Pelodiscus sinensis: one gene and its partner. The protein of the gene in region 1 binds, or shares a complex with, the protein of each later gene. Links are inferred from orthologs where the notes say so. Each region holds a gene or a part of one and is shown on either strand. Other genes may lie near its edges.

The links. Proteins that work in one complex are often made in the same cells at the same time.
Region 2: VPS8 (region 1) and TGFBRAP1 share a complex: the UniProt entries of both Homo sapiens proteins name them as parts of the putative class C core vacuole/endosome tethering (CORVET) complex. The link is inferred for Pelodiscus sinensis from reciprocal best matches to the Homo sapiens genes VPS8 and TGFBRAP1.

Annotation. Positions count from the first base shown.
Region 1 is NC_134720.1:3,949,798-3,957,027, reverse strand, and holds the start of VPS8 (vacuolar protein sorting-associated protein 8 homolog), read left to right. Parts: upstream 1-4,218; 5' UTR 4,219-4,421; coding exon 4,422-4,568; intron 4,569-5,762; coding exon 5,763-5,831; intron 5,832-6,555; coding exon 6,556-6,686; intron 6,687-7,230. UniProt on the Homo sapiens protein: Plays a role in vesicle-mediated protein trafficking of the endocytic membrane transport pathway.
Region 2 is NC_134711.1:233,363,932-233,371,254, reverse strand, and holds the start of TGFBRAP1 (transforming growth factor-beta receptor-associated protein 1), read left to right. Parts: upstream 1-4,312; 5' UTR 4,313-4,428; coding exon 4,429-4,450; intron 4,451-7,323. UniProt on the Homo sapiens protein: Plays a role in the TGF-beta/activin signaling pathway. It associates with inactive heteromeric TGF-beta and activin receptor complexes, mainly through the type II receptor, and is released upon activation of signaling.

The DNA of each region.
Region 1 (7,230 bases):
CTCTGCATTTGTCGTCATTTCCCCTGCCTTTGACATTCACATTGTCACATAACAAGCGATGAATGGAACACATCCAGCCCACTTAATTAGCTTCTTTAACACGAGTACTACAATTAACAGGTAACTGCTTTTGCTGGTATATACACACCTTGGATTCTGTTATTTGAACTCCAACTCATCTGATGAAGTGAGTTTTACCCACAAAAGCTCATGATCCTATATATTTGTTAGTCTCTAAGGTGCCACAGGACTACTCGTTATTTGTCAACATTGAATTTCATCTGCCATAGTGATGCGTGTTCCCATAGCTCGGCTGAGTCCCTCCCTCTGCTTCTTCACAGTGAAGACTAGAAAAGCCTAATATTGAATCATCTGCTAATTTTGCTACATTATTCAGATTAAATATATTAATCTAGACTGGTGCTGGTACAAAGCCTTATGCCTCCCTTTATCTTTTTGCCATGTATCTTTTTGCTGTGCGGTTCTGTACTCTGTGCATGCGCAGATCGTTTTGGGCATGTGCAGATCGCTCGGTGCCGGCTCTTCCGGGGTGTAATCTACTCACCACGGGCGAGTAGATTACACTATTTGTCGAGCCCTGGCCATGTTTAATATTATCCATTTATCCCTTCTATTCTCTGTCGCTTAACCAGTTTCTGACCTATGCTAGCATTTTGCCTCTCACTCCTTGATTTCTTAGTTTTCTTAAAGTCCCTCACAAGACATTATCAAAGGCTTTTTGAAAGTCCAAGTAGCTTAAACTGAGTATCACAAGTGCAAAGAAAGTCAGAAGCATACAAAGATCTAGATTTTTAATTACTTTTTACGAAATCTGATAGATTTCTGACTATCTATTGCTGTATACGTTTAAAGTAAATAAATAAGCACAGAGCAGTGAAAATGTAAGACACTTTCATTCTACTGCACCTTGTTCAGCGATGTAAAAACTGAAATTAATCTTACACTAGTTGTACAGATCTGTTTGAAGTTGCTAAAAGCTGTTTAAATCTTTTCTTCTGCACATTATCTTTTTTTTCCTCCTTGGTAGATTAATGTGCCCCTAATCTTCTGGGATTGCTATTGAAGTGAAAGAGGAATTTTAAAGAGATGCCGTTTTGTCTTGTAAATATGCTGCTTCTGCATACTGTTCTGCATTTGTTCCCCCCTCTGAAAACTAATGTGTTTATGAAGTAGTATTAATGAAAAATTCAGTCTCTGATATTTCCAGCTGTTTTGTTGGGGGGGGGGGGGGGCGCACAGTATACTTTGGATTATTTCTCTCAGCCTGTGCAAGAGTTCTGGAAGGCCTCTGAGGCAGTGGAGTCAAACCTGCGTAGTCTCTCAAATTTCTCAGAGCCTTTTCTCGTCTTGGCTCTCTCTAAGCGGCACAGCGCTGTCCACAACAGCTCTCTCCGCCCAGTGTGGTTGAGTGGAGTCAATAGTTCTGTGACAGGCACCCCCTGTTCTTAACACCAATGGAGGTCCAGATGCCACTTTCCTCACTGGCAACAGAAACACTATGCCAGGGCTACTCAACATGCAGCCCACGGGCCACATGCGGCCCACAGCCCATCTGTTTGCGGCCCGCGATGCGGTTTGGGTTTACACAGGGCTCAACAAAAAAGTAGTCAGTATATGGTCTTCTGTTGAGATGCATTTTAGTAGTTAAATTCCTGGACTGTCATTGCTCATTAAAAGTGCTGTCAGATGGGTGGAAATTGGGTAACTATTACATTTTATTAATATCAGCAGAACTGACTTAAACAGCCTATGCGTTTTGTAGTCTTGCCTTAATCTTTGTATTCATGCCTGTTAGTATGAAAGAAGCTATTTGCATATATATTTACATGTATCTGCAACCACACTTAAGTTGCGGCCCTCGGCATGTGCTGTGAGTATCATTGTGGGCCCTGAGGCTTCCAAAGTTGAGTAGCCCTGCACTATGCAAAGGATTGTTACACAGCTCAGGATCTGGCCCTTTGTCTTGACATGATAGAGCAAACTAAAGGGTCACGCTTGGAGAATTCTTTAATAAACCAAACCAAAGCTTTTCACTCTGAGCCGCTTCCCTGCTTGGCCTAGCACAGGGGAGTGAACAAAGACATACAGCAGTATGTAGTACTAGGAGGGTGAGAACGTGATCTCTCTCTCTCCTACTAGATGTTTGCATCAAAGGCACTAGCTGACATTACTGTGAGTGGAGACACATGCCACTTCAGTATCACCCAAGGTAACCCTGTCTCCTTCCAACTTAGAGCCAGGTTTTCCAAGAGAGACCAGAACACTGGCTTCCCAAGGGGAGCAGAGGCCTTTTTAGAGACAGTGAAAGTACATTTGTGCCTAAAATAAAGTGATCAAACTAATAGAAAGGGCCAATTAGTAAGAGGATAAGGACAGCATGGCATATTCTGCATACCAGCTGAGGAGAAAAACTCTCTGGGGTGTACACTTCAAAGAATATATTTCAAAGGTTCACTGGTACTTAAAAAAAGGGAAGAGAACCCCTTAGTTATCCATCACGTAGGAGATTTAGGCAACTCTTGAGTCTGTGAATCTTGAGTCCCATGGGTGGAAGGACTAGAGATACTGGTAAATACATGAGAAAGGGTATTGTAATTTTCTAGGATAAAGTTGTAGTCGCTAGAAAATGAGTTTGGCTTGCAATCAGACCTGTCAGATCTCAGATGTATCATTTTAATTTCTGTTCTTAATAAACTCATTCTTGGTTTTACTATAAATCATTTTAGTGCTGGTTTGTGAAAGTGATATGTGCATCTAGGCTGATGTATGCTCTTTCTTGGTTGGGGCTATGGGAGGGATAGCCTAGTGGTTTGAGCATTGGCCTGCTAAACCCAGGGTTGTGAGTTCCTAATCCTTGAGAGGGGCTATTTAGGGATCTGGGGCGAATCTGTCAGGGATGGTACTTGGCCCTGCCATGAGGGCAGAGGACTGGACTAGATGACCATCTCTTTCAGTTCTATGAGATGGTATATCTCCATATATTATTATTATTATATTACAGGCAGCAGATTTAATATTTTCTGTCTAGTGAGAAGGAATGCACATTGCAGGGAGACATCTCTGAGAAACTGTGGTTAACCGTTTCTTGCAAGGCAAGATTTAGACAGAGTCTGAAGGGGCTTTCTGGTGATGTGGACAGACTTGTATGGCAGGGAGCTGACTTATGAAGTCAGAGGGGTAACACAGTGGTTTATGGTTCTACTTGTCCTAAGCAGAACATCACAAATACATGTTTGACCAATCCCTGCTCCAAAGTGTGGGCACTACCCATTCCCGTGCCATGTGTCTTATAAGCTGATGCCCTGGGGTGTGGGCCCTGCTGTTTCTGAGTGTGTCTGACCAACCACAGCCCTGGGCTGTGGATACTACTGCTTCCCAGAGCACTCTAACAACCCCCTGAAGCTCCTTGTCAGGTAGGGGACTCTGACTCATGGGAAGACAGGCTAAGCATAACCTGGCCTGTTTGTGTATCACCGTATTTTGAGCCTGCAACGCATTTAGCTCATGTGCAGGGGCTGTAGGGTACCTGCTGTCTCCAACAGGGAAATTCTTTTCCTGGGACGGAGCAGCAGTCGCTGCCAGGCTGGGCCCTGTCTCAGATAGTTTGGTCTGCCCCAACTGCCAGCAGCCAGGTGGGTGGCCTGACTGTGCGCAGAGCAGCGGCCAGGCCTAGCAGAAGGAGCAAGGTCAGACCCAGTTACAGTCTGCAGGCCAAGTCAACGGGCCGGCCCCACGGGCGGGGGCAGAGCCAGGAGCCGGAGCTCAGAGCGGGGTTAGTAGGTCTGAGGCCGGGCGCGGGGCAGGCCCTGAGCTAAGCATCAGGCAGCCAGCGAGCTCCTGCGGGCTCCCTCAGCCAACGGGGGGCAGCGAGCGAGGAGCAGCGGTGCGCCCTGCCCGGACACGCGGGGTGCGGCAGGCCCTGCCCTGGCCGCACGGACGCTGCACACACAAGAGGCCAGTTGCACGCGGGCGGCTAGAGGGCGCGAATGGGGGCGTGGTGCGGCCGCAGGCGGGGCTTGGGGGCGTGGCGGAAGCGGCAGGGGCGGTGTGCATGGGGGCGGGGCGAAAGGGGCGTGGCGGAAGCGGCAGGGGCGGTGTGCATGGGCGCATGGTGGAAGCGAGTGTGTATGAATGGGGGCGGGGCGGACTAGCTGCTGCTCTCTGGCCTCAGAGGAGATTGGCTGGAGACGCACATGCGCAGTGAGCGGTCATTCGGCTAGTGCCGGTGGCGGGGTCCTCAGCCCGGCTGCTCCACGAGCCGATATTTCCTCACGCGTGAGGGCGGGGCGTGGCCTCACCTCCCCGGCCTCTCGTGCCGCTGCCTCCCACCTCAGGCGCTAGAGCCCGCCGGGGTCCCGCGCTGCTCCCCCGGCGCGCGCCTGAGGGAGCCGGGCCTGGAGATGGAGCCCGAGAGCCGCGGCGCGGAGCCGGGCGCCCCCCTGCCGGGGCCCGGCGAGGAGCTGGGGCCGCTGCCGGGCCAGGAGGTGCTGCTGCCGAAGCTGGGCGGCGCGGAGCTGGACCGGGAGCTGGAGTCGGGCGGCGACCTGGTGAGGGGGGGGGGCGCTCGGCTGGAGGCGCGGCCCGGGGGGGAGGCCCCTGAGCGCGCGCGCTGTTGGCTCCTGCGGGCCTGGGTCAGTCTGCGCCCCGCGGCTGCCGGCCGCTGCTCTGCTGAGCGCTGTGTCCCGGGGGCAGGGGCGGGTCTCCGGCTGGAGCCTCTGGTGAAAGACGCGAGTCTGCAGCACAGCCACAGCCGCAGAAACTTGGGCTCTTCCTGCCCATCGGCCCGCCGCCTGCTCACCGACAGCCTGTCCGCGCCCTGCCTGCGCTCAGCCGCGTGTGGGGGCAGATACTTGTAGCCCAGCATAGTCAGGACCCCCCTCACTTGTGGAGGTTCTCGTCTCATTTAGTCTGGACAGTTGCTGGGCAACGCAACCCCCACTGTACTGACTGGAGGTGAGGGCTCTGTGTGTCCGCATCTCTGCTATCTGTGTTCCCATTGGTACATCTTGAACTAAATTAACTGCTGGCTTTCCCAGAGATGTCTCACAAGTGCCCCCAGGGATATGCATATCACAGTAAAGGAGGTAAACTTCCTTACTATGTGTGTGACCAGTACCTAGCACATCAGGGACCTGATCTCAGTTGGAAACACTAGAGTAGAACCTCTAGTTTACGAAGTAATTGGTGTTTGAGGAGTTAATGAAACAAACAAATAATTGAACAGCCTAACATTACAGTATGTATGGCACACTGGATTGTTTTCTTGTCCCTTCAGACCACTGCAAAGCAATTTAGAGTGCATTGAAGGCATCTGAATGTGAAGTTATATTAGAACCTCAGTTATAAACACCTTGGAAATGGAGGTTGTTCATAACTGAATAGTATGTTATGGTTCTTTCAAAAGCTTACAAATTAACATTGATTTTAATACAGTCCTGAAACTTTACTATGCAGAAGAAAAATGTTGCTCCTCCCCCCCCCCCCTTTTTAAAGTAGTTTAACATGGTACTGTACTGCATTTGCCTTTTTTTGGTCTCGGCCACTCCCTGATCACGTGTGTCTGATTCCAGTTGAGGTGTGTGATTGACTAGTCAGTTTGTTATGATGCTGTTTGAAGTTCTACTGCACATCATACTCCAGTCGATCTCCAGAAAATTGCTAAATACAGTACATTTTGAGTCCCTGTAAAATGTACGTTTGGAAGGTTGAATAAAGAGGCTAAATTTTTTTTTTTTATTTAGATAGACGATAAAGAGTTTGATATTCCCCAGGTTGATACTCCTCCAACATTGGAAAGCATATTAAATGAGGTGAGTGTGTTTTGTCATATATGGCAGGCTTCCAAAATATTGAAACTAGACAGAATTGTTCATATTAATAAATTCTCTCTAAACGGTGATGTCAGAATGGATTATTTAGTTTATTCTGCAGTTGGCAAAATACACACACCAAGTAAACTCTGAACACTGTGATACACTTCAGTTGTGTGTTTTCTACTCAGAAGATGCCATATTTAATATCTAAGATCTATGTTTTCTAAATACTTGTATATTTAGAAAATATTTACAAGTAGGTAGATACACAATTGGGCATACTTATGAAGAAAATACATAGCCACAGAACACTTGGTGTGCAGGTAAATGTTATAAATGGATAAATACAGTTTGATAGTGTGGTGTTTGGGTCACATCAGGTGTGTATTCTAGGCGCTACAAGTGATTGTGAATTTACTACATCCCTTAATAATCTGTTCCAGTCTTTATTTACCTTTAAGAATTGACTTCTTAATTTCCACTTTGAACATAGACTGCACATTCTAGACTCTGACCACAGCATCTTCTGAGGATCAGTCCCTGTCAGATTCCAGCAGTGGGGATCTATACTAGTAATATGGGTATTCCAAGAAAAACAGGTTACCCCTGGATGATCTGAATGTTCAGTGCAAGGAATCATGACCCGAGAACTCCATTAGAGATGAGTCATTTCCAGTCTGTCTTGTCTGTCGTGTTTATCAAATTGTTGCTTTTGTTTCAGACTGATGATGAAGAAGAGTCTTTCATTCTTGAGGATCCCTCTCTATTAAATGTTGATAACATTGACACTCACTCTTATGACACATCATCCTTGGCAAGCTCAGACAGTGGGGACAGGACACACTTGAAAAGGTAACTGATAAGTTGGACAGTTCTCTTCTATACCATCTTTGAGTTAGATGTATCATGAGTATTGGAACTGATGTATCATATTTCACTGAGGACCACATAACTCTGTTTTCTGACACACTTGCGTCTGTTCAATCCATGGGATTAGTATGAAATCCAGTGGGGTAAACTAGAAATGTGGTCTGTTGTTCAAAAGATATTTTGGAGAATCCCGAGCAAAGAAGCATCCAAACTTCTGTGATATATTTTGCATAGTGAAAAGAGCCATTTTTCCCAATAGAAAACTAACCTTTATCTTAGTGGAAAATAACCCACTATTAAGAGGAAAATCCCGCAATATACTGCAGTGCAAACTCTGATAGGATCAAACCTCAGTCCACATGTTAAAAATGGATGATGTGCATAAAAAGTCATTCTGTAACAGGCTGCTTATTCCTAAGGGATCCACGAGACAGAAAGATAGAGGTCTAATATATGCTGCAGTGGGCTGTGGAATTTGTTGCAGAATTATTTTAAGTTTACATAAATTTATCTGTTGTGATTGTAA
Region 2 (7,323 bases), on another chromosome or scaffold:
CAAGGGTATGTCTACACTAACCCCCTAGTTCGAAATACTGCCAGGGACTTGTTTTACTGGTTACTGGTGTCTGACCAGTCAGTACTTATCCCATCGTTTCTAAAACTTTCTAGCAACCCATGTTACCTCTATAACTGAATGGAAATTTGGCATATGTTCCTTAGGTCGGTGAATCCATCTTTATAGTGTAAAGAATCATGCTAATCTTTGCTATTATATAAGCAGTTATAAATGAGATAGGCACTTGTCAAATATTAGAAGTCATTCCTTCTTTGTAGTTTTATCCATGTATCATTTTAAGATCCTAATTCTGATAACACTTATGCATGAGCTTAACTTTATTACTATGAATAGGCTTATTTAAATTAGTGGAATTACAGTAGTACAATTAAGCACATGCATACATGTTTGCAGAATCACAATCTAAGAGAGGACACATGCCATTTATTTTCTAAGTAGTTGTTATTTATAAACTACTCAGAAAAAAAACCAAGTATTTTTCATTGTATTTTAAATGTTTGCCTTGTTTTTCAAAACCTTAAGATATCATGTTCTTTTAAGTCATTGTATTTCTCCTACCCACAGCAATTTAAAAATATTTATTAAAAAAAATACATACTAAGTGAAAACAAACCAACCTTTCCATACATTTATCAAAGTACCTTCAGTTCCTAGTGTAAAAAAGTTTAAACTTCAAAGTATTTTAATATAAAGAACACTGTAGAACCATTAGCTCCTTTCTATTTTATGTTATTTTTACATAAATATTTCTCTATGAATCACATATTACAGTAAAACTCCATTGCTCCGGCATCCAATGCTCTGGCACTCCTGATGGTCTGGAACCATCGGGAACCTGGGAGTGCTCCAGGCAGTCCGACAATTGGAGCTGCTCTGCCCCAGGCGTCTCCGATTCAGCCGCTGCTGAAACTGACCAGCAGCTGATTCCAGGAAGCCCGGGGTAGAGCAGCTCCAATTGTCCGACTGCCCGGAGCACTTTCAGGTTCCCGATGGTTCCAGACCATCAGGAGTGCCGGAGCATTGGATGCCGGACCAAGCAGCTCTGCCCCGGGCTTCCTGGAGTCAGCCGCTGATCAATTTCAGCAGCAGCTGACTTGGGGACGCCTGGGGCAGAGCAGCTGAGGTGCTGTCGGGTTGGTCCCGTAGCGCCGCCCCTCAGCACTGCAAGACCAACCCAGCAGCACCCCAGCTGCTCTGTCCCAGGTGTCCCCAAGTCAGCCACTGCTGAAATTGATCAGCAGCTGACTCCAGTCAATGAAGCAGGGATTTAAATATCCCCCGCTTTTATCAACAAATCCAGGTTGTGAAATGAGGTTTACAGGAACAGTCGACAAAGGCTGCCCTGTCGAAAGATCCGCGTCTTGACTGCTGCGCTGTGCCAACGATCAGGTGAGCCAGCACAGCATGGCAGCCATTTTTATTTTAATGAAGTGGGAGATATTTAAATCCCCGCTTCATTGACTATGTCGGGTAGTCTAATTTACATGCCTCTGTCGGCATAGGCATGTAGTCTAGACATACCCAGGATGTTTGACATTGAAGTAAATAGGTCTGGATCTGTTGATAAAAATTATCTTTGACTACTAATATTTGATGATTTGCAATAACCAAAAAGGTCTGGCTATTGTGAAGTACAATAGACTCATAGACTCATAGACTTTAAGGTCAGAAGGGACCATTATGATCATCTAGTCTGGCCCCCTGCACAGTGCAGGCCACAGAATCTCGCCCACCCCTCTTAGAATAATCCTCTCACCTATGTCTCAGATATTGAAGCCTTCAAATACTTTGAAGGCCCCAACATGCAGAGAGTCCTTCAGCTGTGATCTGTGCCCAATGCTACAGAGGAAGGCGAAAAACCTCCAGGGCCTCTGCCAATCTACCCTGGAGGAAAATTCCTTCCTGACCCCAAATATGGCGATCAGCTAAACCCTGAACATGTGGGCAAGACTCACCAGCCAGACACCCAGAAAGTTCTCTATAGTAACTCCTATCATCCCTCCATTGACCTATTTCCAACTGATAATGGTCAATTAGTTACCATGATCATGTTATTTCATTCAACCATCCCCTTATCATAGAATCATAGAACTGGAAGAGACCTCAGAAGATCAAGTCCAGCCCCCCGCTCTAGGCAGGACCAACCCCATCTAAATCAAATAATTGTTCACTGCTTTGAGTTAGTACTATTTGAACAAAAATGTCTACAGCAAGAATCTTCCTCTTCACATAAATCCTTTATCAACCAGTTTTCATAAACATTTGAAATGGAGTCTTTTTTTATTATTATTTTTTACAGGCCCCTAATAAGGCTGTAAACTATAACTTAGTTAACTTATGCTAGATCAAAGTTTGGGGCCAAGGCAGAGCTTCAGGCAGCTCCCAGAAGTGGATGGCATGTCCTGTAGTGGCACGAGAATAATTTTTGGAGTAATGATGCTGAGCTGCATCCCCCTTACCTCCGTCCACATCCCAACTGATCCTTAGAGCTGTGGCCAGCAGCTGGGATCCTACAAATAGGGTCGGTGTCCAAAATCCTCATTCTGGCAGCTAGGTGGGATCCTGCAAGCTGGGCTCAGCAGCAGGGCCAGTGCCCAGCAGTCAAGTGAGACCCAAGGCCATGGCTGGCCACCAAGAACATTCGCATGAGGACAGTAGCTGAGCGGGGCTCAGAAGTGGTGGCCAAGTCCCCGAGAACAGGACAAGCAGCCAAGTGGGAACCAGGGTTGGACACCGAGACCATTTGTGTGGTCACAGCAGCGAAGTGGGACCAAGGGCCTGTGGCCAGGTCCCTGAGAGCAGGGCCAGCAGCTGAGTGGGACAAGGGGTTGGCTGAGAATCTTGAGCGTGGGAATGGAAGCTGAGCAGGGTCCTGGGCAGGAAGTGAAGCCTGCACATGGGATGCAGAGCCCCCGGATATTTGGCTCCTTGGGACAGAGATGGCGAAGGGGCATGACTGTCCATACGGGGCACAGGGCTGGGGCAACCCCTTTTCTCCCAGTGGCCCAGGTGTGGCACTTAGCCTAGGGCAACCTCCCCGCTACAGGCCCCACACTAGGGGCAGGGGCAGTGTGCACAGACCCCCTGTTACTACCCCTGGACCTAGGAGCTGGACACGGGGGCACGTAAGCTCTGGGCGCGGCAGGGAGGCAGGGGCCGGTCTTCGCCCTGCTGCGCCACCCACTGCACTTGTCGAAGTTCTGACCCGCGCCCGCACAGCGCCCGGCTGCTGAGGACGGGGGGGGGGGGGGGGCGGGGCGAGGTCTGGCCGGAGCGAACGTGCAGGGCACCCGCATGAGGAGCGTCCCGTGCGTGCGGGGCGCTGGGCAGAGGGGCGGGGCGCGCGCGCGCGCGCTGCGTGAATGGAACGCCGAGGGAGGACGTGCTTGCGGGGGGGAGGGGGGGGGAATAGTGAGTGTTGGGGGATGGGCTGAGTACGGGGCGGGTCTGCGGGATACGCGCCCACGAAAGTCAATGGGGGCGGCGCCTTTTCCTCCCCTTGCCCTCCTCAGGCCCCGCCCTTCCCGTGTCCGGCGCCGCTCACGTGACCGGAAGGAGCGTGAGGAGGGGGGCGGGGAGCCGCCCCCGGAGGAGGCAGGGCGCCCGGGCGGGCCGCAGGCGGAGACCCGCCGGCAGTAGCGCGGCGGGGGCCAGGCCGCCCCGGACCCGGCCGTGGCCGCCCCGGTAAGCGCCGCGGGGGCGGACCTGAGCCCCCCTGGGCCGGCCCCGGCCTGTGTCCGGGCTGCGGGCGGGGGCTGCAGGAGCCATTTTGTCCGGCCGGAGCGGCCGCTGTCCGGGCGCGGGGGCCGCGCTGGTGCCCGAGGCGGGCGGGCGGGCGGGCGGGCGGGGGGTGACTCCGGGTCGCTGCTCTGCCCAGCGCCAGGCCGGGCGGGGCGGGCGCTCCCTGCTGAGCGGTGGCGGGCGCAGGGGTGAGGGGACCGCGTCTGTCTGTCTGTCCGGCAGCCGCTGGCGAGAGGGGCAAGCCCAGGCAGAGCCTGTCCCCGGGGCACGGCTCTGGAGGGTGAGCAGCGGCCCGCAGCGTCGGGGCCCGGCAGCGTGAGCCCCGAGCGCCTCTGCGGTCAGAGGGCCGAGCGGGAAGGTAGCGGCTTACGGATCGTTGTAATAAAGCCCCCAATCCAGTGTGTCAGGGGAGCCCATGATGTTTGGTGTCTGGCCGAGTTGTGAACTGAAGCCCTCAGGCTCGTCTTCTGAAAGGGATGTGCCGGCTTCCTGTGCTCGTAAGGGCCGATAGGAGAGTTACGATGATGCTCGCTTTTTGTGAAAAGTGTTCCCCCACAGGTGACAGGTGTGTCTGTTTTGTTCAGTCACCTGCCTTGTATGCCTGAGATTTGAGGACCGACAGGGCTACACCCAAACTGCACTACATTGTACTGTACTGACTAATCAATGAGGCAAAGCCTTAAGCAGGGTGAGGCTTTTCAGTGATGTCTCCAAAATGTTTTTAATTTATAGGGTCAAATATTGTATTTTTGTATGTATATTGAATATCTAAGTAATGGGTAACAATAGTAATTGCAATGGATGGTAGCATGTGCCACTTTTAGGGATTATGCTATTGATGTTCAATATTGAACAATTTCCCTTGCTATTTCTGAGAGAGATGGAATCTGGTACTTACAAGGAATAGCATATTCCAAGATACCTATACCAGTGCTATCTGCTTAAAACACAACATGTTGCAAGATGTTTAATCAAAGATACATTTAAAAGATATAGCATACTGGTTGTGTTTAAGTTGAAAGAAACTTTCTCAACAACCTTATTCTTGGATATATAGCCAGATCACTTATTTTCTGTAGACACTAAATCTGTATAGTATTACATTATGGTTTTTGCCCAGGATTTGCATGATTTAATTTTAGCAGCACAGGCTACTGGAGGATTCTAACTAGTTTGATTATTTGCATATTTCTTTGTATATCCCCTTTATTCTGAAGATGTTTTTAAAATTGTCTTGGTTAGAACCAGACTTGTACTTGGTTAGAACCAGCTCTCCCACTGGCAATCAGCATTTTTTACCCTTGGCTACAGGAACTTTGACTGAATGTTGACAGCCAGAGGTAAGAAGGGCAGTGTAAAGTTTAGGGGCTGGCTTTTCACTGTAGGCTACAAGCTATTTTTCAGACTAGGTAGCTAAGCCCATGGCGGGAGGAAGGGGAGTGCAGATATAACCAAAGTTTAGATTTAAAAACCTAAATACATTAAATTATGCCCTAAAGCTATTTTTCAGCGTCCAACTAGAAATGACCTGTTTTTCAAAGGTCCTTAGCACTTTCAGTCTGCTGTTATAAATTGAAGTTGTAGCTGTATCTTGTCTTAAAATCAGGCCACTTCTATGCAGATGATTAAAAATGGATTTTAGCCTAACTTTAATGATCCAAGTTTGAAAACATTGGCCCAAAATAGTTTACCGTGGTGTCTGACAGAGCTTATGCTTTTCTGTGATCTTATGGTTTGAAAGTATACTGCATTGGGAATACTGATGGAAATTTTCCTATTTAAAGCATTAACATTTATGTTCTGGATGGTGGATAGTAATGTTTAGATGGTGCTGGTTTTCTCAAATTTGTGCAAACAAATGTTTGGGACCTAAGCATTTTATTTGAAATGTTGTTGTTGTTGTTGTTGTTTACCTCTAAGCACTTGTGGATGAATAATCCTTACTAGTGACTTCCCCCACAGGCCTGTAACTCTCTAAAATGTTCAGTGTAGCACTGTACACTGCCTAAAGAGCAGTCAGAATTCTCAAGTTTTAATAACACTCTTGAGGGAGATTGTGCTAGACTCACGTGGTTTAGTTTGTCACTCACTTCCGCTCCCTCCCAAACTTTCAAGGATGTGGGAGAACTGCTTTCTGGTGGTTCGTGCTTTAGGACAAGGACCTCTTCAAGTACGAAAAGCTAGTCAATACTCATATTTCATCAGTGATACAAATGCTTGTTTGCCTAACATGCTAAATGGGGAATTAACTTTGGAATACTAAATTTAATTTGGATGTGCAGAAAATATAATTGATAGCAATGTGGTCAGGTGTCAAAAAACAACACTGAGTTGGAGCCACTCTTAGGCTTCATCTACATTGTAGGGTTTTTGTGCAAGAAGCCTTTTGCGGAAGAGTTCTTCCGCAAAAACTACTTGTACAAAAGCGCATCCAGTCCTCATGGACACTTTATGGATACTCTTGTACAAGAAAGCTCTGATGGCCATTCACAGAATGGCCGTCAGAACACCTGTGCTTTTTCGGATAGGGGTTTCTTGCTCAAGAAACCCCTACAGAGCATCCACACTTGACTTTTCTGCACAAGAGCTCTTGCTCAAAAAGGAGTTATTCCTCGTGGGGAGAGAAATAACTACCGCCAAAAGCTTTCTCTTCTGCTGATTTACTTGTGCAGAAGTGCGCTTGAGGTGTGAACCCTCCACCTTGTAGTGTAGACATAGTCTTAAAGTAATTGTCCATATGTAGGATCCCACATAAATCATGATTTCTTGGAAATCACGAAAATACCCCACAAAAATGATTTTTCCTTTTTTATAAAAAATGGAAACTGTTAACAATAAAACCTGCAGTACAAAAAAATTATTTACAGTGCTATGCTCCTATATCATTCCACCCTTGAAACTGAATAAACTTAGTAGTAAAATTAATTCCATGCAAATTTTTGTGATTTTAGTACTTTGTTATTTACACTATAGTGAATTTTCTAAAAAAGTAAAATAAACTGATTACACAGGGCCTGATCATGAGATTCACATTCTGAAGATCTGTCAGAGAAAATGCTCGTAGATAATGGTTCTGAAGAGTGAGGTGAATGAGCGTATTAATGACAAACAGCTCTGAGAACAGGGAACAATACCTGTTAAATTTTTGTGCTGTTGACTTCTAAACCTCATGAGAACACTTTGTGGGCTACATTTTCCAATAAATTGGGCATGCAGTTCTGTGGGTAAATCTACTAATTGCAAATGCAGATAGTCAAATGGAGTGCAGAAATAATGGTGTCCTTAATTTTTTCTCTTCTAGTGAAATTGACTATTTCCACTTAAAACTTAGTTACTGTGTGAGAGTACCATATGGCTCTTTATTTTTGTGCAAAGCTCCCATTATCTGAGAGATGCTATGGATTGCATGTAGTAATATTAATCTAGCTTTAATTCAAGCCCCCAGGCTACAATTCAAAATATCATTTGCCCTTCTTAAAATGAGTTTTGAGAGATTGGTATAGAATAAAAGTACCAAACTCTTTCAATATATTGGAACTTGTAAATTGCTTTGTTGGTTAT